Arabidopsis thaliana: one gene and its partners. The protein of the gene in region 2 interacts with the protein of the main gene of each other region in a pairwise test. Each region holds a gene or a part of one and is shown on either strand. Other genes may lie near its edges. The genes, in order: AT1G51930, AT1G44960, AT5G11680 and MAPR2.

Region 1 (4,924 bases), 2.3 Mb from region 2:
AATTAACAATTCACAAGTAAAAGTAAATCTATGGTGTTAGAATTGTAGCTATAAATATCCCATTAACTAGTGGATAAAGGAAAGGAAGACAAATAAAAACTAGTGGACAAAGAAAAGAAAAGGAAAACTTAAATTTCTGAACTTTCAATAGATATCATCCAACGAGTAATATTTTTTTTCTTGACTAATATAAACATCATTTACTATGGTCTCAAACTGCATCTGAAATCTTATTAAGTTTCTAAGCATTTATCAGAAAGCTGCAATGGCCACCGAGCGATTCTCAACCATGCTCATTTCCGTTCTCGTACTTGCTTTGGTCTTATCTCCAATCCTTCCATGTCAAGCAACTCGAGCGCATCTAGATGGTTAGCTAATCTTTTTGGGATTTATATATAATACATCGCAGTTTTCTTAGGTGAATTGTTTTCTTTTTCTTATAGCTGAAACGCGTATGCTGAGGCGCGTGTGTCCTTCGTGTGTGTGTTGTGCACCGGCTCCACGAGGTGCTTGCTGCCCATGTCGATGCCCCAAAAATCCCTAAAAGCTTCGACTTTGATTTCGTCTAACACCTTGTCATGTGTTTAATATGATCTTATTTACATGTGAATAAGCAATCAAAAGATTAGACTCCGTATGAATCTTGTCACTCAGGCCATTCTACTTTGATTGTTATAGGATAAAAAAAAAAGTATTCTATATGTTTTGTTTGCCTTGTAGCTTCGTTTTAAACTTATTATTAAAGTGGATCGGTCAATGTTTGAGGAACCTTTGAATTCTCATTCAACTCAGAAATAGAGACTTTGAATCTTAGAATGGTCTGTGGAAAAGTCATCTTTAAAAACGCATATAAATATGATTACCCTTAATCCTCTACGAACACAAAGCATAACAAACCAAAGCATCAATGGCGTCGTTTCACAGTGGAAAATCCATCTTCTTGAAGCTCTTTGTCTTGTTTCTGCTACTTGTTCTTCCCTTGTCTCAAAGCAACGCTACTCGTATCCCAAGAGGTAACAACTCAAGGCATCAAACTAAACTTTATATATACCTACAATAGTTTCCAATATTAGATTAGTAAAGTGATCTGTATGGATCAATCTTTCTTGGTATGTATTTCACATCAGCTCCTATTAGCTCGAGAAGACCGATTTGCCCTGCTTGTGTGTGTTGTGAGCCAGCTCCGCTAGGAAGTTGCTGCAGATGTTGTGCATCTCCTATTGTCACTCAAACTCATCACCACTCTCAATCTCCATGAAAATGTAACATAAAAAAGCCTGACTTGGTACCCAAAAAAAAAATAAGAATAAGAAAAAAAGTCTTTTGCAGTCCATGTTTCTCTGTTCACATGTCCTAATAACAACAACACAACAACAAAAAAAAGCTTCAAAGTCAACTTGAGTTCGATTTTTCAACCATTGACCAAAACTTTGATTAATGTAAATATAATTGATACCTTAACCAAAAGATATGACTATATTCACTTAGTAATGATAAATAAATAAAACCTAATAGTCTAAAGACCTAAACTCATCAAATCAACAGAACGGCGACAACTTGGACAGTTTTGTTTCTGTGTAAGCCAAGAATCAATACACAAAAGATGAAAAACATGTCCACAGTTTCTTAAACGCCTAATCTGATGATCATCCTCGTACTCTTCCAAACAAATTGGACAAAAACGTTTACCACCACCTTCTTCTTCTCTTCCTCCTTCTTCTTCTTTGATATCTTTGAACACTAGGGCTTTGCTCTGTCCGGTTTCAATGTCTTGTTGAGGCTGTACAGTTTGATGGATTGTCTCGGGAGGTAATCTCGTGGGAGGGGGATCTATATTGTCGCAACAGTTAGCAATCACGATGACGATCAAGCCGATGATGGAGAAACCAATGAGAATTTCGTCAATAGTATCCATCCTCACGAATACTACGTTTTCGTTCGTTCCTACCAGAAGAAATATCAAAAACGTGATTTATTTTACTTTATAATATCAAAACCAATCTTCCCATTAGGAATTAGGATTTGAGTTTTATTTTCTTTTTCCTTTTGTTATTTGGATTAATCATGTGAAAACACATGCTTGCATCCCAAGAGAACCCTAACGACGTCGTTTAGTTTGAAACCCTTGGTCAAAACTTTTAATTGATGCCAAATAGAGTTTATAGTCATCACTGAGAAATCATTATCTGCGCACACAAAAATTTACAAAAATATCAAGGAGATATTGGTTTGAAACACAAGATAATTTGGTTGAATTAAAAATAAGAATATGATGATACGATCTGAATGTGGTTTATTGGGCCTATGCTGGGCCAAGATTACTTACTACGTTAAGCCTTTTATGCTTTTAGATTTTGTATTATATAAGCTAAAACCAGAGTTAGTATGGGAATCGAAAAAGATTACAACAGTGACCTTCTATCTCTAAGTCTTCATAGATTCTCAGACCTTCACACTTTCTCTTACAAAGTATTGATTATGTCCAAAAATTATATGGTTCTGTGTCATGCATCATCATCAATCTATTGTAATTTGTAAGATTATAAAGTGATGTTTTGTTTGTAAGATTGCAACATATCTTAAGCATATAAACTCATACATCTCTTCATTTGATTCTCCAAAAGAATAATCATATAGAGATTTGTCTCTGTAACTATCTACTTAGTTAGACTGCGAACGATCTTTTGGTTTAGACAAACTAAGCTTCTTCTAGGCAATGGCGACATTCATAAATTGAAAATAAAGAAAGGGTTCTAAGTTTTTATTGTTTTTATCTTCCTTGGACTAGACCACTAAAGACTTGGCTGTTTCCAGCAAGAGTGGCTTCCCATTCAATGGAAGACAGGAGTATCTGCGAGAGCGATATAACCACTTGCTTCATGTTTGGTCTTAGAATCGGATCATCATCCACACATTGCTTTGCCAACGTAGCAATCTGTCCACAAAATTCATTTACAATGAAATAAATCATATGGTTACTACATTTTTCCAACTACTAATTAAGCATTTGTTTCTTAGTTTACCTTGAACAAACAGTCATGCGGGTATAAATCCATCATGTTGGGGTCAACAAACTCCTTCAAACTCGACATGTTCATAGAGTCTGGTGAGTTCTTTAGCACTGCTAACATCTGCAAGAACAACAAAAAAGGGCTTTGCGAATGAATGTTGCATCAAAGAAAGAAGTGTAATGGTTCAATCTTTATAAACAAACTCCAAGAACTTACAATAGATGCCAATGGACGTCTTTCTGGATTCTTAGTTCCAATCGCCTCCGTTCTTATAACAGCTTCTCTTCCGGATATAATTTCGAAAAGAACAACACCAAAGGCGTAAATATCACTTTTCGAGGTGGCAAGACCGTCGCTTAGATATCTGCAAAAGAAAAGACAGAAAAGTCACAGATAAGAATTCACTAAAGTATTCTTGTATTAAAACTCAATGTAGCTTCTTCAAGTGTTCAAATGCTTACTCTGGTGCAAGATAACCATATGTACCAACTACTTTAGTTACTGATATTTCTCCCTCTCCAGTTTTCTCAACGAGTTTTGCAAGTCCAAAATCCGATATCTAAACACAATGCAAAGATAAGATCAACCAAATTCTCCTCTATAAGAATCAGAACATGTAATGGATTTCATAAGTTCAGACTAAGACCTTAGCCCTGAATGCCTCGTCGAGCAAAATATTGCTTGTCTTGATATCTCGGTGAACATAATGAGTTTTAGTATGCTCATGAATATATTCCAAGCCTCTTGCTGCGTCAAGTGCAATCTGATTCCTCATTATCCAAGAAAGTGGGGTATTTCCTTCAATAACATCAAGAAATATATCATTTATATCATCTTCTTGTTAGTTCTTGTCGGGTATTAATATTAGTCTCTTTACCTTTGCTCTGAGGATCATGCAAATGGCTTTTCAGCATTCCCTTTCGGACATATTCATAAACTACGAAAAGCTCGTCAACGGTTGCAGCGTAACCAATCAATTCTACCTTTGACAAGACGAAAAGCAAACATAAGAGTCATAATCTCGAATGATTTTAGACTAATAAAAAAGATATACACACAAAGGGAATTTACCAGATTGGAATGATGAACTTTGCAAAGCACTTTCATCTCTGCTGCAAACTCTTTAGTTTTTGTAGCAGTCATCCTTTTGACAGCAACTTCCTGTGATAAGTTAAACCAAATATGACATCAAGTAAAGCCATTACGACAACTCAAAACAAGGAAATGAAAAACAAACCTGTTCTCTAAGTAGACCAAAGTATACAGAACCATAGTTTCCATGACCAAGAAGATTAGAATCCGAAAACTCATCCGTAGCCGCACGAATTTCTTCATAAGTAAACACCATAGGCTTCTCTATCTCAAACATTCCATCACCAAGAGCTACATTCATACAAGAGAAAAAATCCGTAAAACAATTAAAAAAGAAAACTCTTTAAAAGAGAAACCACAGATGATGAAACCAAAAACCAAACCTTTAGGAATAGCAACAACTTGAGTTTCACCATTGGTTTGTCTAAAATCCCCTGATCTACAGCAGTTATACCGACCAGAACCGCAAAAGAAACCGGATTTTCTAAGGATTTGGAAGTTGTGTCCATTACCATCTTCCTCACTGGAACTGCAACTAGATGATCTCAAACAGATACATACAAGTATGCACAGAACAAGAAGTGCAAGCACAACTCCAAGACCACCAACAATCCATATATAAGGCACATGACTACCACTCTTTGCAGTGTGATTCACCTGGTCATCTTTCCAAATTTGGAAACAAATACAGAAACATCTAAACTTAAGTTTCATGATACTAAAAATAGAAACTTGAGATTCAGATCAGACAAAACAAGATAATAACAGAAACCAAACCTGAGATATTGCCATTAGCTAATGATGATGCAGGCGCAGGAGAA
Region 2 (6,609 bases):
TTTTCATTAATTGTATAATAATTCATTATATAGGGGTGTAACACTTTAGCTAGAGATATTCCAAAAATAAGTCACTCGGGATTAGAAGTGGGCGTTTGGATACCCATTCGTTAGGGTATTTCTAAATTTTGGGTTTGGATCGGGGTCAAGTCCGATATTTTGGGTTCGGAAACTGGTTACCCGAAGTTCTCAAAAATCAAAATTTTAAAACCAAATATATCCAAACTACTCGAAAATACAGAAAATAACTAAAAACCTTGAACACTTTTGTATTCAAATTTACTCAAAAGTAGATTAAATACCTAAAATTATTTTAAGTATCTGAAAATCTAAATATTTTGACGCTTAGATTATTGCAAATATAAATATTAATACGATCAAATGATTCTTCAACTTTTTTTGTTAATCTCCTCATTACTTTTAACAACAAGTCAAGAAATTGCTCGATTTGTTTTGCAATTTCTTGACTTGTCATCACATGTCTCCACAGTTCTCACATGTCATCACACTACTTAGTGTACCACAAAAAATCTGGTAAACCATACTATCATAAGAGGAACCAGGAGAATGGAGACATTTGTCCATGCATCTAGCAAATTAACCAGATACTCATGTTCATCTTCATGTGCCTCATATTCGTGTATTTTTAATACGCGTAGTTAAGCAATATATGATAAGCTAGAATTATAGTTTATTTTACTATATTAATTTTGACTCCACACAATGCGTGGAATACCCCCTAGTAAACTATAAAAAAAAATATGAATAGAAAGACGTAAATCTTTTTGACCTTGAATAAATAAGAAGCTTAACTTAACAAGCATCCAAAATGTATTTTTGTAATCCGTTTAATTTTATCAGAAATATTAAATTTTAAAATTTTATGATTGTGTATCATATTTAAACTAGATTTTAATCCGCGGTATATCGCGGGACGATTTATTTTTTAAAAGTAAGATATATTGAAACTTGCAAATTTTATTCTTATAAAATATTTATATTTTACAGTTTATAATTGTTACCACAATTTTTAGCTTAAAGTTTTATATTTTATAGTTTAATTTTATATATACTAACATTATACATACCACATAACATTTTTGGTTTTATATAATCTTTTCTAAATTAGGATGATTTGATATGTTTAATATTAATGGTCTTAAAAAATAATAAATTAAAGATTTAACCCGTATTGAAACGGTGATTTAATTATATTTTACTTTTTTTATTAATGTTGATTCAAAAACCCGTCCCTCCAAATCCATCTTGCCAAAAAGCCATTTATTTTATTAATATTAATTTTATTTATGATATGACTCTAAATTATAATCTAAACATTTTAGCTAATAACATAGAAGTGCACCATATTTATTTAATAGGGGAATGTACCATATGACCCGAATGCACTTTTACCCAAATCCACCAAAAAAGTCTTGCAAAAATACTATAGAGATAAGAAACGATAGTCGGTTTTGATAGGTATAAGATTAGCAAATATATTAGTTAGCTTAAATTAGTTAAAGAATACAAATTAAAAAGATATATTACACTTTATTCGAATATAGTATAAAAACTTATATAACACAGAGATTTGATAATTTTTTAATTGTTGAATACTTTTTTGTGCTAATTTTTATGTGATTAAGATTTAGTTGATTTCGTATATAAAATATTAAATTGTTTTACGAACTTATTTGTTTATAATTTGGTAACAGATAGATATTTGAATATTCAGTATATTTTGCTTAAGTTTAGGAAATCTTTGATGACCCGTCTTTAAATCAAATAAGCCCTATAATTAAGAGATGAACTAGGATTTAACCCGCGGTTTACCGCGGGCAATCGGTTTATTTGGTTCTTATACTAAATATTTGAATAAATTTGATATCCTAAACTTATAAATATAAATTTTTTAATCAGACATAACTAAATAATAATTGAGATTTTTTTTTGGTTGTTATTTAGTGATAAGAAGAATGTGTTAAAATGTGTTTAATTTTTCTTTTGTTATTTACTTATTTTTGTTGAACGGATTAGATTGAAGTGAATTAAAATTATTGAACGGTTTAGATTGAATCGGATCATATCAAGTTTAGGAGATTGTTAAGACCAAATTACCCTTAATGATTTTGAATAGCAAAGAACAAAATCCAAAATTGAAATCAAAATTGAGGCCAAATTAGACAAAATTTCAATTTGTACTTCCCTTTTAATAATAAGAGGATATTGTCGTTAAAAGATTTTGGTAATTAATGACGTCATTAAAGGATTTTGTTTTTGATTAAATTTTTCTAATGGCATTGTCATGTAATTAACTACAAAAATTAAGGTTAAATTTAAAATGTACTTCCCAAATAATATAGTAGGATACTTGTAATTTGTATCATTTATATGATATTTATATTTATATTTATATTTTATAATTGTCATTAAGTAACGATATACCACATAAGAAGTTTGTTTTGTACAATCTTATATTAATTAGACAGATGTTATATGTCTAACACTAGTGATATTAATAAATAATAAAATAAGAATTTCATCTGTATTAAAGTAGTAGGTTAATGATGTTTTATTTACTTATTAATATTGTTTCAAATCCGTTCCGCCATATAACTCCGTCTCGGAATATAACTCATCGCATATTATTTTAATTTTCCTAATATTATAAACTTTTATTGATTTTAAATACATCAATCATAATATTAATAATAATTTAAATGAAAAATTATAGAAAATAAATCGTGATTGTCAAGTTTTCACTTTTGATAATTTTTTCTTGTAATTAGTCAATTAGTGTTATATTGTGGAGAGTTGAATAGTCTCATTTTGCAATTTTAGAAGATCAAGGGTATATTTCCAAAACATTGCAGTTTTGAGGATTCAACTTGCAATTTACCCTTTTCAAAAATCACTTTCGACAATTACCAAAAACCAGTTCCCCCATTTCATTTCACGCTTTCTTCTCTTCTCATCTCAGAGCTCCGTGATGAAGAAATGGTTAGCAATCGCAGCGACGGTGGCGATAATTGCAATAATCGTTAGACAAGGCACGACACAATACGGATGGAACAAAGAGGCGGCGTTGGAAAAGCTAAAGGAATGGTCAGATCGGCTGGGGATTTGGGCGATTCCAACGTATGTAGCGGTTCACACAATAACCTTAGCTCTTTGTCTCCCTCACGCCGTCTTCTTTGAAGCTGGTGCTTCTATGCTCTTTGGTTTCCTTCCTGCTCTTCTCTGTGTTTTCTCTGCTAAAGTTCTCGCCGCTTCTTTCTCCTTCTGGATCGGCAGGTCTGCTTCTCAATTGCACTGTTATGTGATTCAAATTGATCTGTTGGATCGTTAGTTTGTGTCGCTAATGTACGAATTTGATCGAAATGATTTGGATTTAGAACAATGATTCTCACATGGCTTATCTTGGCTTCGTAGAAAGTATATGATTCATTAGTAATACACTCTGGTTTAGTTTATGTTATCGTGTTTTGTGAATGCTTAAGGTTTTACTTGGAGATGGTTTAGATTTTTCTTTAGTGCACCATTGTTGAAACCTTTTGCAGAACGTTTATTGAAATCCATTAAATTGTAAGCATGAATGATAGGAAGGGAATGTTTGTGTGAAGAAATGGTGTCATTGTTGGTTATTCAGCGGTAAGATAACACCGTTGTTCACCAAAAAGGCGGAGAAGATGCATGATATTTTCTTGCGAGATTTAGATGGATGTCTTCAGATTCTATAATGGTGTTTGGATAAGAGTGGTTGTTGTCTTGTGTATGTGACGGAGATGTAAAGAACCGTTAGATGCTTGTCATTTGCTTGTTAATATATGCTAGGGAATGATTTGCAATATTCACATTTATGCTGGATTTTTACATGGCTTCATAGAAACTATATGCTTCATTAGTAACACTCTGATTTAGTTTAAGTTATCGATTTCTGAGATTTTACTTGGAGATGTAGAATAAACTCTTTTGTTGGTTTTGATTGTCCTGCTATCGCTGAAACCTCCGTATACAGAAGTTTTCACGAAAATCCATTCTACTCTAAGCATTATAGGAAGTGGATCTTTGTGTAAAGAAATGATGTCATTTTGGCTGTTCAGAGGAAAACTAACACCGTTATTCGCCAAAAAGGCGGAGAAGATGCATGTCTTCCTATTCTATAATGGTGTGTGGATGAGATTGGTTGTTTTCTTGTGTATGTGATGGATATGTATGGACTAATTGTTAAATGCATGCTGTGATTCTAATTGCCAATTAATATATGTAGGAGAATGCAACTAGGATGTTGATTAACCTTAGCAATGTGATATGCAGTTTTATTTATTTATCTATCTATTGGGAGCACTTGCATTCTCTCATACTTTTTTGAATTTTCAGGTTTGTTTTTAAGAGTTCCACCAGAGCTACAGGGTGGGCGCATAGCAACAAGTACTTCAATATTCTCTCAAGAGGAGTTGAGCGCGATGGTTGGAAGTTTGTTCTTCTTGCAAGGTTCTCGCCCATTCCTTCCTATGTCATAAACTACGCTTTGGCAGCTACTGAAGTCCGGTTTGTAGCTGATTTTCTGTTCCCCACGGTTATTGGCTGCCTCCCGATGATCCTGCAGAACGCATCAGTCGGTAGCCTCGCTGGTATGGCTGTGGCTTCAGTAGCTGGAAAACAGAAAAGTCAGGTCTGGGGTTATGTTTTCCCAGTACTTGGGATACTGTCAAGTGTTCTGATTTCATTGAGGATCAAAAAGTACTCAGCTGGAATTACAGAGGCATCATCAGATACCTCTGCTAACAACTCTAGTTTAGCTTCATCTGAAACTGCGAATCCCGCTTATGGAACCGATGGATCCAAGAAAAGTGAGTGATTATACAAACCATGATGGTGGTTTTTGATCGCCGGTATTACACTTTGTTTGGTTTGCAGCTATCAGATTCTCAACATCATGGCTTATTTTGGACGAGTTAGGCAGTATCTTAATAGTAACAAAGCATTAGTTTTTGTACTTCTTAAGTTAAAAGCTTAGAACAAAACAACAGTGTTATTTTCTATACCAGACACAAAAACTGTGTCGTTGTAATAACACTTACCATAACATTTTCTTTCAGTGTATGTTTAAAGCCGTTTATATGGTTGAAGCAATGTGACTAAAATTTTTGTAGCATTGAAACAAGCTATATTTGCATTGCTATGGTCTTGTTTTGTGACTAAAAGACTTGGATGCAGAATGGATATAAGTTAAATGTCTGATTTTGTAAATAACTTATGAAGAGAAAATCTTTATTCGGTAAGAGTTGTTTTCTCAATGTAGCAGTTCACTCATCATTTTCAAACTTCAACTCTCAGAGAACACAAAGAGGTTAGACAGTGCAGATGCTTATGGTTGAGAAGCTTTACCTAACAATGGTACAAGGCGGTTTTGTTGGGATCACATGTGAAGTTAGGCACATGGATTCGTTCTTGGAGTTGGTACAAGGACTTCTAAAAGACAACAATGAGGTATAATAAGGACAAGTTGACTATGTCTCTCTCTTTTATCTTAACATTCTAAATTAGGATTTGGTAAACTGAGAGCAGTTAGCTTCTTGAATCTCTAAAGTATAAAAACCCTCACCGTTTTACTACTATCTCATCTTAAAACTCCCAAGTAACAAAAATGGCTATCTCAAAGCTTATTCCTACTCTTGTGCTCTTTGTTTTGTTCTCTTTTGATGTTAGTGTTGCTCATCCAGGTCTAGGATTTGGATGGGGAAGTAATAGTCCCATTGGAGGATCTTTTTACTCAAATCTTTACCCACAATTTTACCAGTTCTCTTGTCCACAAGCTGATGAGATTGTTATGACGGTGCTCGAAAAAGCCATAGCTAAAGAACCAAGAATGGCAGCATCTTTACTCAGACTTCACTTCCACGACTGCTTCGTTCAGGTAAAAGTATCTTTACCTATTTTTGTTTTCCCTTTATGTGTCTCTTAAGCTTAACACTTATACACTACACTCTGTGTGTAAACAGGGCTGTGATGCATCAATCTTGTTGGATGATAGTGCAACCATAAGAAGTGAAAAGAATGCTGGACCAAACAAGAACTCCGTTAGAGGGTTTCAAGTAATCGACGAGATCAAAGCCAAACTTGAGCAAGCTTGTCCTCAAACTGTCTCCTGCGCCGACATTCTAGCTCTAGCTGCTCGTGGCTCAACTATACTGGTAAAATTAAGAGACCTTCAAGAGAAACTATTGGCTCAGTTACAAGTTATATAGCTTATATTTATCGAATTTGTGGTTCAATGCAGAGTGGTGGACCATCATGGGAGCTTCCACTAGGGAGGAGAGACTCGAGGACCGCTAGCCTTAATGGCGCAAACACGAACATTCCTGCACCTAACTCAACTATTCAAAATCTCTTAACCATGTTCCAACGTAAAGGTTTGAACGAAGAAGACCTTGTTTCCCTATCAGGTGAGATTAACATGTATTTATCTTTTGTTTAAGGAGTTGGCAAGGAAACCAAACCGAGACCGGTTTCTTAAAACCGAATGATAACAACGTTTTTAACCAAACCAAAATGTTGCAGGAGGACATACGATTGGAGTAGCGAGGTGCACAACGTTTAAACAAA
Region 3 (6,690 bases), on a different chromosome or scaffold from region 2:
GTTCTACTTGATTGATAACTCAATAACTGTTTTGATCCTAAATGAAAATCGGCTTTCAAATGCAGTGTCTTCCAATCACCATTGATGTGGGTACAAACAATGAGAAGTTGCTAAATGATGAATTCTACATCGGTCTTAAACAGCGAAGAGCAACTGGCCAGGTTTACTAATCAATTCCTATCAGTGTTTTCTCTTCTTATAGCAAATACTATGATTTTTCAAAAACTGAGAAGTCTATTTGCTTTTGTGATTCAGGAATATGCTGAATTCCTGCACGAATTCATGTGCGCTGTAAAGCAGAACTATGGAGAGAAAGTGTTGGTTCAGGTGAGCCATAGGATACTCTCTTAAGAACTATGATTGTTGTCAGAACTACGATAAAAGATGTCCGGAATTAATATCATACACTCATCTTTTCAGTTTGAAGATTTTGCAAACCACAATGCGTTTGACCTTTTGTCTAAGTACAGTGATAGCCATCTTGTCTTCAATGACGATATCCAGGTAGCATCTTCTCCTCAAGATTGATCTTTTTTTTCTTAAATTTTTGGTTGTGATGTCAGAGTGCTTACCAAGAACTTGATTTTGTTTTCTGTAATTGCAGGGTACTGCATCCGTGGTGCTTGCTGGGCTTATTGCCGCTCAGAAGGTGCTTGGTAAAAAACTGGCTGACCATACCTTCCTGTTCTTGGGTGCCGGAGAGGTGAGACCAGAAAGCATTATACTCTATAAGCTTATAATTCTTACATTTATTTTTTGCTGCTTACACTTTATCTCGCTGATTCTTTGAAGGCTGGAACCGGTATCGCTGAGCTAATTGCTCTTAAGATTTCGAAAGAGGTTAGTCAATCTGGGAGTTTTCTTGCATTTGATCTGTTTTTTGGCTAAGAGTATGTGATTGATCATATCTGTTTTTTTTTTTGTAGACTGGAGCTCCCATCACTGAGACCCGGAAGAAGATTTGGCTTGTGGACTCCAAGGTATTGTTAGGCGCCAACCACCAAGATCAGTCTCATCTTTTTTAGCTATACCGTTCTTGTTCATATATGTTTCTCTTTTGAACATTATTTTGCAGGGACTGATTGTTAGCTCACGCAAAGAATCTCTTCAGCACTTCAAGCAGCCATGGGCACATGAGCACAAACCTGTGAAGGACCTCATTGGTGCTGTTAATGTACGTGATGAACTGATCTTTAAATTGCTTGATAGTGAATAGAGAATCTTTTTGTTCACTGTTTGTTGAAACTTTTTCAAACAGGCAATCAAGCCAACCGTTCTCATTGGAACATCCGGTGTGGGTCAGACTTTCACAAAAGAAGTTGTCGAGGCCATGGCTACCAACAACGAGGTTTCTTCTTGTTCTTACTCTCTGCTTTTTCAGAAAACAAGGTATTTATGCTATTTTTCTAATGCTGGTCTTGGTGTTGGCTTATAGAAACCGTTGATTCTTGCTCTCTCAAACCCTACTTCTCAAGCTGAGTGTACTGCTGAACAGGCTTACACATGGACCAAGGTATAATATTGTCTCATATGACATCTAAATGTGATTCATGTCCTCACTCCTGATTATACAACAAAATTATAATTTGGTTTTCATGCTGCTCCTCGAATCTAATCATATATTGTGCTTAAAAAAAGGGTCGTGCAATCTTTGGAAGTGGAAGCCCATTTGATCCTGTTGTGTACGATGGCAAAACCTACTTGCCTGGCCAGGTTCGTGCTATTTCAACAACTTCTTCTCTCTCAACTTTGTACATCTGACAATCTTAGAGCTCACATCATATTTCCACTATCCTACTTAACTTCAGGCAAACAATTGCTACATTTTCCCTGGTCTGGGTCTTGGTTTGATCATGTCTGGGGCAATTCGTGTCCGTGATGACATGCTCCTCGCAGCTTGTAAGTAAAAATAAACTTCAGAAAATCAAACATGGATACTGATAAAGACACTTAAAGATTCTCAATGTCATCTCTCTCTCATGTTTTCAACAGCTGAAGCATTGGCCGCACAAGTGACAGAAGAGCATTACGCCAATGGTCTGATCTACCCGCCATTCTCAAACATCAGAGAGATCTCTGCTAACATTGCAGCCTGTGTCGCCGCCAAAACCTATGACCTCGGTTAGTTGAATGAAACTGTCTTAACTCTTTTAATGAGACTGTCTGAACTCTCTAATCTCAAGTTCTAAAATCGATGTATTGTGGTGTAGGATTGGCGTCGAACCTGCCACGTGCAAAGGATCTTGTCAAGTTTGCAGAGAGCAGCATGTACAGCCCTGTGTACAGAAACTACCGTTAAAAAAGTTTTGTTGAAGAAACCTGCAGATTATACTATTCACAACCCTTGATAGTTTCTTAAGGCTTGTATTTAAGTTTTTTGTTTGTTTGTTTGTTGTTTGTTTTCTCTTCTACATTATGATGCTGTTTGTGAACTCTCTCTCTGTCTTTGCTGATAAATAATAAATTGTTACTAATATAATCTACAAATCATTATTGTCTCAAAGTTACACTTTCCATCCCACATCACAAAATCGATCAACTTGTCTTGGAAGGGAATAATATGCTTTTTTCTGCCACTTGTTGTATCTTATTGGTTGTTTTATTAAAATGGTATAATTGTTGCAGAATTAAAGAACTTGTATCATTATTTTGAAGAGTTTATCAAAAGTTTCATATAGATAATAGGACTATAGAAGCATAGCTGAATACTCTTTTGAAAGTGGTTTCTAAATTGTACTGAGCAAAATGTTCTAAAAACAACAAAACTCCTAATCTTAAGCTAATGATTTTGGCATTTTAGGTAACTACTTGTTATAAATAGCTAAAACAATAACAAGAATCTCTAAAACTCGTCTTCACGTTTTGGTTAAAATCGAAAGCTCAAACAATCCAAACCAAAACTAAACCGAAACAAGATGTCAAAAAAATAAATAAACACCTAAACCGAAACCAAAGTTAAAACAACTGAAAATGGGCTGAACGGTCCCTTTAATCTGAGATGTAATAAGGCCCAAATAGTAACTGTAGATGGGGACAATTGTAACGAAATCAAATTGCGGGCGAAAATCGAACTAAAGAAATAAGTAGAGGGACGAATAAAATGGTTAGAAGGTTTTAAGAATAAACCGCGTCGCGTCTCTTTTCTGGAAAAAACGAGAAACTGTGATCTTGGCCCTTTTATTACCCCTATCCTCTTCTTCTTCAATCTCTCCGATCAAAATCCTTTTAAGCTCTGTAGACCCAGGTATGTTCCTTCAGCTTTTCTATTCGCGAGAAAATTACGAGTAAAGGATTGCTTGAAATTGAACTTGGATCGTTCTGTTACTGCTTTCTTATTGCTATCAGATTTTGATTCTCTAAGGAATTAGATATTTTCTTTGTTGATTGATTTGTTTTGAACACGTATTATTAATCCTAGTCTTTGTTTCTACATTATAGGAACGTTTCGATTTGAATTAGCTAAAAACCTCAATTTTATTTGCTCTTTTGCATATCTGAAATTGGAAGCTGATGATATGTGGATGTTAATTGGCTCTAGTTACTTGGATCTGTGAATAATTATTTGCTAATTTGGAGCATGTTCCTTTGAATTATCTTCTGATTGTCTAAGTATATTTGGAAATGTGTTTATATTCTCATTTGTGTGATCAGGTTACGCAGAGAAGAAGAACAGAACAAGGAATTATATAATCATTGGCTTGATCAATCTGAATTGCAGTTCATGGCGCTAAACCCTCAATTACTACCCAATGGGATGCCTGTTCCCTTTGTTAATGAAATGTTCGTCCTAGTCCGAGATGGTGTTGAGTTTGAAGTCGACAAGATCCCTGGGTTCGTGTTCCCTTCTCTCGTCACGCATGTTTTGGATCTCCTTAAGTGGTTTATTGATTTGATGATTATTGTTGGTCTCCATTTTAGTACCGTTTTGAGTCGGTTTAGATCCACTCATCTAGCATATGAACCATTAAGTTTACTTGTAAATAAGATAAGTCTCAGAAGTGAACAGACATATGAGCTCTGGGCTTTAAACACTTCCCTGATGTTCTTTCTTGTTGTATGATCCAGAGGGCATGGAGGTCATGTTAAGGCCAAGGGGGTGATTTACTTGTCTAATATACGGATGGTCTTTGTTTCAAGCAAGCCTGTTGACAACTTTGTTGCTTTTGACATGCCCCTGGTACAGTAACTTTATCTTATTTTTGTCTCTGATTTAGTTAATACATGGCACAAGTGTAGCTCTGTTAAATTTGGTTATGGAACTACATGCTACATATTAGCTTATGGATTATATGTTACTCTGTAGCTTTACATCCATGCCGAGAAATTTAATCAGCCAATATTTCACTGCAACAATATTGCTGGACAAGTGGAGCCTGTAAGTACAAACTTTCATGGAGAATTTATAGTTTCTTTCCTTGTAAGGAAACTATACATATTTACTTATTGGCATGTAACAAAATTTCCAGGTGGTGCCAGAAAATGAGCATAGAGCTCTATATTCAACACACAGTTTCAAGATCCTATTTAAGGAAGGTGGTTGTGGGACATTTGTTCCTCTCTTCTTGAATCTCATATCATCAGTGAGACAATACAACAGACAAATGCAACAAGCAGCAGAAGCAGCAGCGGCAGCTCCTCATGTTGATCCTCTTCAAGCCGCTCAGACACCTGTGGACGAAATGATGAGACATGCGTAAGTCCCATCAGAAATCAATCGGAAAGTTTTTTGATAGTAGTAAAAGCTGTTGTTCCTCATAAAATCTTGTGTGGTCGTCATTGTGTATGTGCAGGTACGTGGACCCTAATGATCCAACGAGGATATATCTGCAACAGCCATCAGGGGAATCTCAGTTGAGGCGTAGAGCTTACCATTCGGGTGCGGCGGAACATTGAGATACACGGAAAAAAAAAATACAAAGGCTATGAATACAGAAACAGCAACAGATTAGTGTTGCTAATAAGCAAAACGTGTTGTTTGTTTGTTTAAAGTTGAAAACTAAAAGTCTAAAACCATCTGTGTAAAGAAAGATGAGACTTGTTTGGTGTGTGGATGTATCTGGTAAAATTGGAGTCGTAATAATCATAAGTTTGGTTCATATATTGAACAAAATGTGGGTCGAAAACCCTGCCGGTTCGCCTGAACCATGAAAAGTCGGATTTGGCTGATCCGCACGCTCAATTTTCTTCAGCTAAATCGCGAATACTTGAGCTTGTAGTAAGTCGTGGCCACTAGTGGGACACACAAAACCACAAAACATATATTTTGCAAGCTAAAACCCAATGGACTAAGATTTGAGGTTCAGGGTTGGACCATAAAATTTGGAATGGATAATCGGATACTTTAGGTTGGGTTGGTAGTTTTCAATATTGAAATTGGGTTTTTGGACCTTTCCTTAGTTTTTGATTTAAAACAAAATTGTAAAAGAAAATGAAAATACGAAGGTGGCATTCTAGCTTTATTTTCCAGAGAAAGTGGCTTTCCAGCCATTTATTAAAAAAAACAAAGACCAGGGTGTTTTTTTTCTGACAAAACAAATTGTAACACTCACTAGGCATAGCATTCTAGTTAGTTCTGCAGAAATTTATAGCGACACTGGTCCAAATTAGGAGGAGCGAGAGCGAAGGTACGAGTGAGGATTTACAATTGTCGATCGTTTTCACCTAGAAACCCTAATTTCGGGGGCTCGCACGCCCTCTCTGATTAGAAGCGACTTCATTATCGGTCACTAGAATCTGCTGCTTCTTTTCTGGTTAGTGTTTAACCAAGCTCCGTTTTGTTTGCTCTTAATGGAATCAGAATTTCTATCATTCCTAGATTAGTTTCTGTGATGTATATCTCTGGTATTCGGATTCTTGTGCTGAGCTCAATTCATAAGCGGAGGATTTCTTAGCTTCGATAATTAGCCCTTTTCAAAATTTGCAGCTTTTTATGCGGTTTGTTCTTAAGATGATTGGTTCATTCAGTTTTGTTGTGAGATCTCTGACCTTCCTCTGTAGAAACTAGCATTGTCAGGAACATGGACACTAAGAAGAAATCTAAGGAACATGGCCTATACCGTATAGTCAATGCTATCGGTTATGCATTTGGAGCGGGAGCTGTTGGAGGTTCTGTATATCATTTCGTGAGAGGGGCATACAATTCCCCAATAGGTGCTCGATATGTTGGAGGAACACAAGCGGCTAGCATGAATGCTCCTCGCTTGGGAGGCACTTTTGCTGTATTTGGAGGATTGCTCTCAACATTTGACTATGCATTGGTGCGCATCAGGAAGAAGGAAGATCCATGGAACTCCATCGTAGCGGGTGCTGCTACAGGTGGAGTTCTGTCTATCCGAAAAGGGGTTGTTGCAGCTTCAACATCAGCGGTTATGTTTGGTTTTTTTTTGGCTGTACTCAACCCTCCGTTCGGGAGCAAGTAAGCTTTTTGGGTTGTCTTTGATGAGAATGTCATTTAGACTTTCATGATAATTGCCTTTTCGTTATCAATTCTTCAAAATTACTGTTTCATGGAAAGTTTAACAGATTTCGTGGTTGAGAATTTCTGATCATTTTTGTATAAACGTCATCAAGAACTAATTATTGCTATTCAAGTGTTCCTTTTTGAATAGTTTCTTTTAAGTAGATGAAATCTCAGGGGAAAAACATTTGGGAAGGGGAAGATGAGGGAATGAGTCAAAGATATTATTGAGC
Region 4 (5,003 bases), on a different chromosome or scaffold from region 2:
CATTGTACGAACACGCAGCTACAACAGGAGAGATAATAAAACCCATCAGTATGTTTAACTCAGCCATCACTTAATATAACTCAGTCGTCACTTAATATAACTCAGCCATTATAGAACATAATTCAGTCGTCACATAACATATTTGCCAAAAAAAAAGAATATAACTCAGCCTTCACAGAGAAAAATAAAACATTAACTCAGCCGTAACATAAATATTTGATAAAAAACAGAACATAACAGAGCCGAAACCGTACCTCACCACCATTCGCTTTGATATCTTCAGCAATGACCGATTCTATAGTTGAACGGGTACGGCTGCCACCCCATCTAAGCAACGGAATCTCATCCGCGTTAACAGCGTTCCCAAAACGCTCAGCGATGGTGATGATTGACTCATACGCCCAAGCCTGCAACACGAAAACCAGACCACTGACAGTGTACGTCTTGCCAATAGGCCTCAGCAACTTTATAGAAACGACAAGGGCTTCATATGCTGCCCGACCCCATGGATAAGTCTTCATGGCTTCGTCGTCGAAAACTCTTTTGGCACTCTCAAATGGTATCCTAGAGTTAGTATGCAAGCCAAAAAGTCCAATGGATAGAAGAGTCAATAACCCAAACCATCTACGTTTTTCAGTAGGCCAAGCTCTGCACGTTACTAAGCCCTGCCTAAGTTCATCTAGATTAGGACCTTCACCGGTTGGCACACGCAATTCACTGAAGAACGCTTTGTAGTCAGCTTCAGGCTCAAACTTTTCTGTAGGCAGATCATCTATATTTAAACCAGTGATATGATGAAATTCGTTCAATCCAAACCGGATGGGTTTACCAGCCACGATACACCAAAGCTCCTTCTTCAGTATTCTCAGCTGTCTGCATAGTAGATAATGTACGGTCTTACCAGACCAGAGAAAATGACTATCAACAAGCTTAGCAATTAATCCAAGCTCTGTCTCTTTCAGTTCTGCCCATATTTCTTCTCCTATTGATTCTCTAATTGCAGGGAACTCTCCCAGCTTTATATTATGATTAATGCCTTTACCCTCCAGATTAGAATCCCCCTCTTGGTAAAGTCTTGGAGGGTACTCCCTTGCTTGGTCTTCAGACATCTGTATAACCATAAATCAGCCGTAAGCATTCCATAACTCAGTCATAACATAAAACAAACTCATCCACAGATACCATAACTCAGGCAAAACATAAATCTAACTCAGCCATAGATAACATAACTCAGTCATAACATAAACCTATCTCAGCCATAGATAACATAACTCAGTCATAACATAAACCTATCTCAGCCACACATAACATAACTCAGCCATAAGATAAATCTAACTCAGCCATATTTTAACAGAAACTCAGTCAAACCATAACATAACAACAGCTCAGTTAAAACATAAACCAGACTCAGCTATATCAAAACAGAAACTCAGCCATAACATAAACAAACTCAGCCGTCATATAACAGAAACTCAGACATCGATGTAAGGTTAAACCATAACTCAGTCACAGCATAAAAAAAACTCAGACACGGATGAATTGATAAATCATAAATCAGTCGGCAAACAAACAGTAACTCAGCCGTCAAATCAAATAGATCTAAGAAATCGGCCACCATATGTCAATCAACGTCGACGTTAAAACCCAGCTTTAAAAACCATCGTTACGCATCGGAAAACGATTTCAGTGACGGGAATCACTTGAGATTGAACTTAGATGTCAGAGTCTTACTTCATTGAAAGATACTCACCGGAACTTAGATGTCGAATGTGACTTCGCGCTTACGTAAATGCGACTCCGGCGTCTGAATTTCGGCCGGAACAGACGAGAAAAGAGCAAAACGGCGAAAGAAATCGATTTCGTTCCGTCGAGAGAGAAAGTGGAAGAAAGCGACAGTTTTTTTTTTTTTTGGGAGATGATGAACAGTAAAGCTAAGAAATAAGAAACCCAAACGTTATGGAGTTTGGAGATAATTAATGACGTGGATTATGGTAATGACATGGAATAATGACATGTATAATCACTGTTTTTTCATTTAATTTTTAGTTAAAAACGAATTAAATAATAATAATTAATTAAAACTAATTAGGGGTGTTAATTGTAATTACACAATAACTGAAAACATCTGAGTAATAAAAAAAAGATGTGTTCTACTGTAGGAATAAACATACAAATGTGTTCTATCTTAGGAATTAGTTCAAATTAAATTGTCTTTTCCCAAAGCCGTCCTTTAAACCCGACGAAGTTGTTTAAGCAGCTTAAATTAAGCTCCTTGAAAGATTAAGCATTTCTGGAATTTTTATCGACTTTAATTAGAGAAAAATAAAATATTTTTTGATATTCCTTGTAAAAATCTGAAGAATAAAGTTTACTCCACTTATTACCGACACAAAAAAAGTTGTTCCACTTATTAAAAAAAAGTTATTCAGTTATAATTTTTTTAAAAAAATCCTCTGTTATATATCTCTCACTATCTTTTATTTGGTTCTTTCCAGAAACAATTGATCAGAGCTTTAAAGAAAAAGATGGAATTCACCGCAGAGCAGCTAAGCCAATACAACGGCACCGACGAATCAAAGCCGATCTACGTCGCAATCAAAGGCCGTGTGTTCGATGTCACCACCGGAAAATCCTTCTACGGCTCCGGAGGCGATTACTCGATGTTCGCCGGAAAAGACGCGAGCAGAGCTTTGGGTAAGATGAGTAAGAACGAAGAAGATGTGTCTCCTTCTCTTGAAGGTCTCACTGAGAAAGAGATCAATACTCTTAATGATTGGGAGACCAAATTTGAAGCTAAGTATCCTGTCGTTGGCCGTGTTGTCTCTTAGGTCTCTCTTCTGAGATTGCACTATGTTATGTAACTATTGTGTGTGAGGATCTTTGTGTTGTGTGTTTTCTGATTTCGTGTTTGGATCTGATCGTTTTGATACAATTACCATAAGTACCAAATTATCTATGAAATAAATCGGGGATTTCGTGTTCTCAGTGGTCTTCATATTCTGATCTTAAGGTTACTTTGTTGTGCTTACCAAAAAAAAAAGGTTACTTTGTTGTGATGATTAGGATTTTAGGAGTTTTAAGTCTCATATGTATTTGATGAGAGGATATAAAGATTGGTTTGTGTCTTTCATATCTTGCAAATACTTGGAGCTAATTGTGTCTGGTGAAAGAAAAACTGATGGTTTCTGAAATCTGAGCAACACCAAACTTACTGGTAGTTTTGGATTCGGTGTAAATTATCTTACAAGTTCCAAGTTGTTGTTAATTTTAGTCTTTTGCGTTATGAGATTTGGAAGAATATAGTTATGATGAACATTCAGAATTCATAGAAGCTAATGTGTGTCTTCTTTGATTCTTTCTTACTTCTCCCGGTCTAAATTATTATCATCACTTGTATGACTTCGGCCCTGTTCGGCATGGCGTTCTTGCGACTAATATGTTGCTTTAACGCCAAGTCTTAGGTTTGAGGGAGAGCTGTTCATGGGTAGAGTTGTTCTTGGCTCGAGTTGACTTGTGTCGTGTGTAGTGGCTGTGGCCTATAGCTATGCTTGTTTATCAAGAGAGAGGCATCCTAACTTAGATATTATTTTGACATTTTAAATAAAAAAATGCACAAACCACCACCTCCAAGAACTAGCTACCTTGCTGGATTTGAACCAAACCTAGAACATAAATGAGGAGACGTGGAGGGGTAGGAGATTCGGCACCATGTTGATCCTCAGGTAGGTATTTATCCTTTCCCACAATTTGTAAAACGTTGTTGGAGAACCCGGGGTGATTACAAGACACTACAACTTTGTTCTCTATGTCGACTAAGAAACTCAACCCAAAACATAACCCTAAATGATAGCGGTCATCAAATTTCGACACTGTCAGGAACTTGCTCTATGAAATGGCTTCGTACTCTCCATCTTATTCGCTATCCATACCTCAGAGCTCTGAGCAGCAAATATACAAAGTTGTTGCGCTTCTCTAGTCATTGACAAAGTCGCAAAACAATAAGAACGAGGCGATCTTAAATATTAACCAAAGAGAGTTCGCCCTAGGTCTTCTCTCCCGGGCACGATCTCCGAGGAAGCCGCCCCTCCATGCTCCAAGACAAGATGGACCTCCGCCGCCGCTGCTCCGCCGCTCAATTATCCTCTTCCTTCTGAAGCCGCTCTGCTCTTCCTTCTCGGGTCAGATCCTCGTCGTTCGTCGGAACCCGTTGTCGCCTGCGAGTAGTCTTTGGCTAGTAATTCAGCTCTGATGGTTGCTTCGTTCTCAACTCTCCCGTCGTCGAGCTCCTCCGTTTGGACTGTGAACACCGCTCACCTCCGGATGCTGTTCTTTCGGGTATCGCTGGATCCTCCCAAGCCTCCGGTGCCTCCAGATCCGGTACCTCCAGAGCCTCCTCCTCGTTGTTGTAGCGATTTTCCATCGTCTCCCTCATGGTATTCCTTGTTTGTTGGATCCTCCATCTCCTTTCCCTCGTCATTGAGGCTTATTATAAATTATATGCAAGTGTTTTCTATGATAAACCTTCTAGATCCGTGTGTCTTCCGGTGACACTTCTATCGCCATAGTGCGACCTATTACTGCAGTATGCAGCCTTTTTCCTGAAGCTATTAGGTTTTCCTATGGCTCCTATGCCTCCTTTAGTTCCTTCTTTCATGTCTATATGATTTGTAGGTTCTCTAAAGTTGAGATGGGTAAATGTTCAGCTAACTCATGGAGTTGGAATTGTGATTCTCGCTTGTTCACAATTGCTTTTGGTCTTCACAAGGATACTAATTGTATGCTTTGTTTGTGGTTGTGCTTTGTTTGCCATTGTTACTCCTTTATGGAGATCTATGTTCTATCAAGTTCCCCTGTTGTTGGGAAATCTTTATTTGCAGGGAATGAAAGCTTCTTTGGTGTTTGTGGATTTGCTGTTGCATCTTGTTTGGACATGCTATCTTCTAAAACCCTTGAAGTTCCCTTGCGAGACATTTCTGTCGCTTATCGTTCTAGCACCTACACGT

Evidence for each region.
Region 1: the proteins of AT1G44960 (region 2) and AT1G51930 interact in a protein complementation assay, tested with the Arabidopsis thaliana proteins (one large-scale study listed by BioGRID).
Region 3: the proteins of AT1G44960 (region 2) and AT5G11680 interact in a protein complementation assay, tested with the Arabidopsis thaliana proteins (one large-scale study listed by BioGRID).
Region 4: the proteins of AT1G44960 (region 2) and MAPR2 interact in a protein complementation assay, tested with the Arabidopsis thaliana proteins (one large-scale study listed by BioGRID).

What each region holds. Positions count from the first base shown.
Region 1 is NC_003070.9:19,293,322-19,298,245, forward strand, and holds AT1G51930 (RING/U-box superfamily protein), read right to left. Parts: upstream 1,916-4,924; coding exon 1,517-1,915; downstream 1-1,516. Other genes in the region: AT1G51915 (cryptdin protein-like protein), read left to right, coding at 266-368, 444-544; AT1G51920 (uncharacterized protein), read left to right, coding at 908-1,013, 1,128-1,258; LYK3 (protein kinase family protein / peptidoglycan-binding LysM domain-containing protein), read right to left, coding at 2,771-2,935, 3,024-3,131, 3,228-3,375, 3,473-3,570, 3,658-3,809, 3,889-3,994, 4,083-4,172, 4,249-4,394 and 2 more.
Region 2 is NC_003070.9:16,996,587-17,003,195, forward strand, and holds AT1G44960 (SNARE associated Golgi protein family), read left to right. Parts: upstream 1-2,859; 5' UTR 2,860-2,989; coding exon 2,990-3,294; intron 3,295-4,380; coding exon 4,381-4,861; 3' UTR 4,862-5,148; downstream 5,149-6,609. Other genes in the region: AT1G44970 (Peroxidase superfamily protein), read left to right, coding at 5,651-5,920, 6,006-6,197, 6,284-6,449, 6,565-6,609.
Region 3 is NC_003076.8:3,755,742-3,762,431, forward strand, and holds AT5G11680 (classical AGP protein), read left to right. Parts: upstream 1-3,067; 5' UTR 3,068-3,244; intron 3,245-3,651; 5' UTR 3,652-3,721; coding exon 3,722-3,831; intron 3,832-4,065; coding exon 4,066-4,177; intron 4,178-4,303; coding exon 4,304-4,375; intron 4,376-4,466; coding exon 4,467-4,693; intron 4,694-4,790; coding exon 4,791-4,893; 3' UTR 4,894-5,172; downstream 5,173-6,690. Other genes in the region: NADP-ME2 (NADP-malic enzyme 2), read left to right, coding at 66-161, 256-327, 421-504, 605-703, 793-840, 927-980, 1,076-1,174, 1,259-1,348 and 5 more; TIM17-3 (translocase inner membrane subunit 17-3), read left to right, coding at 6,018-6,419.
Region 4 is NC_003071.7:10,606,922-10,611,924, forward strand, and holds MAPR2 (membrane-associated progesterone binding protein 2), read left to right. Parts: upstream 1-2,495; 5' UTR 2,496-2,525; coding exon 2,526-2,828; 3' UTR 2,829-2,979; downstream 2,980-5,003. Other genes in the region: AT2G24945 (uncharacterized protein), read left to right, coding at 4,661-5,003.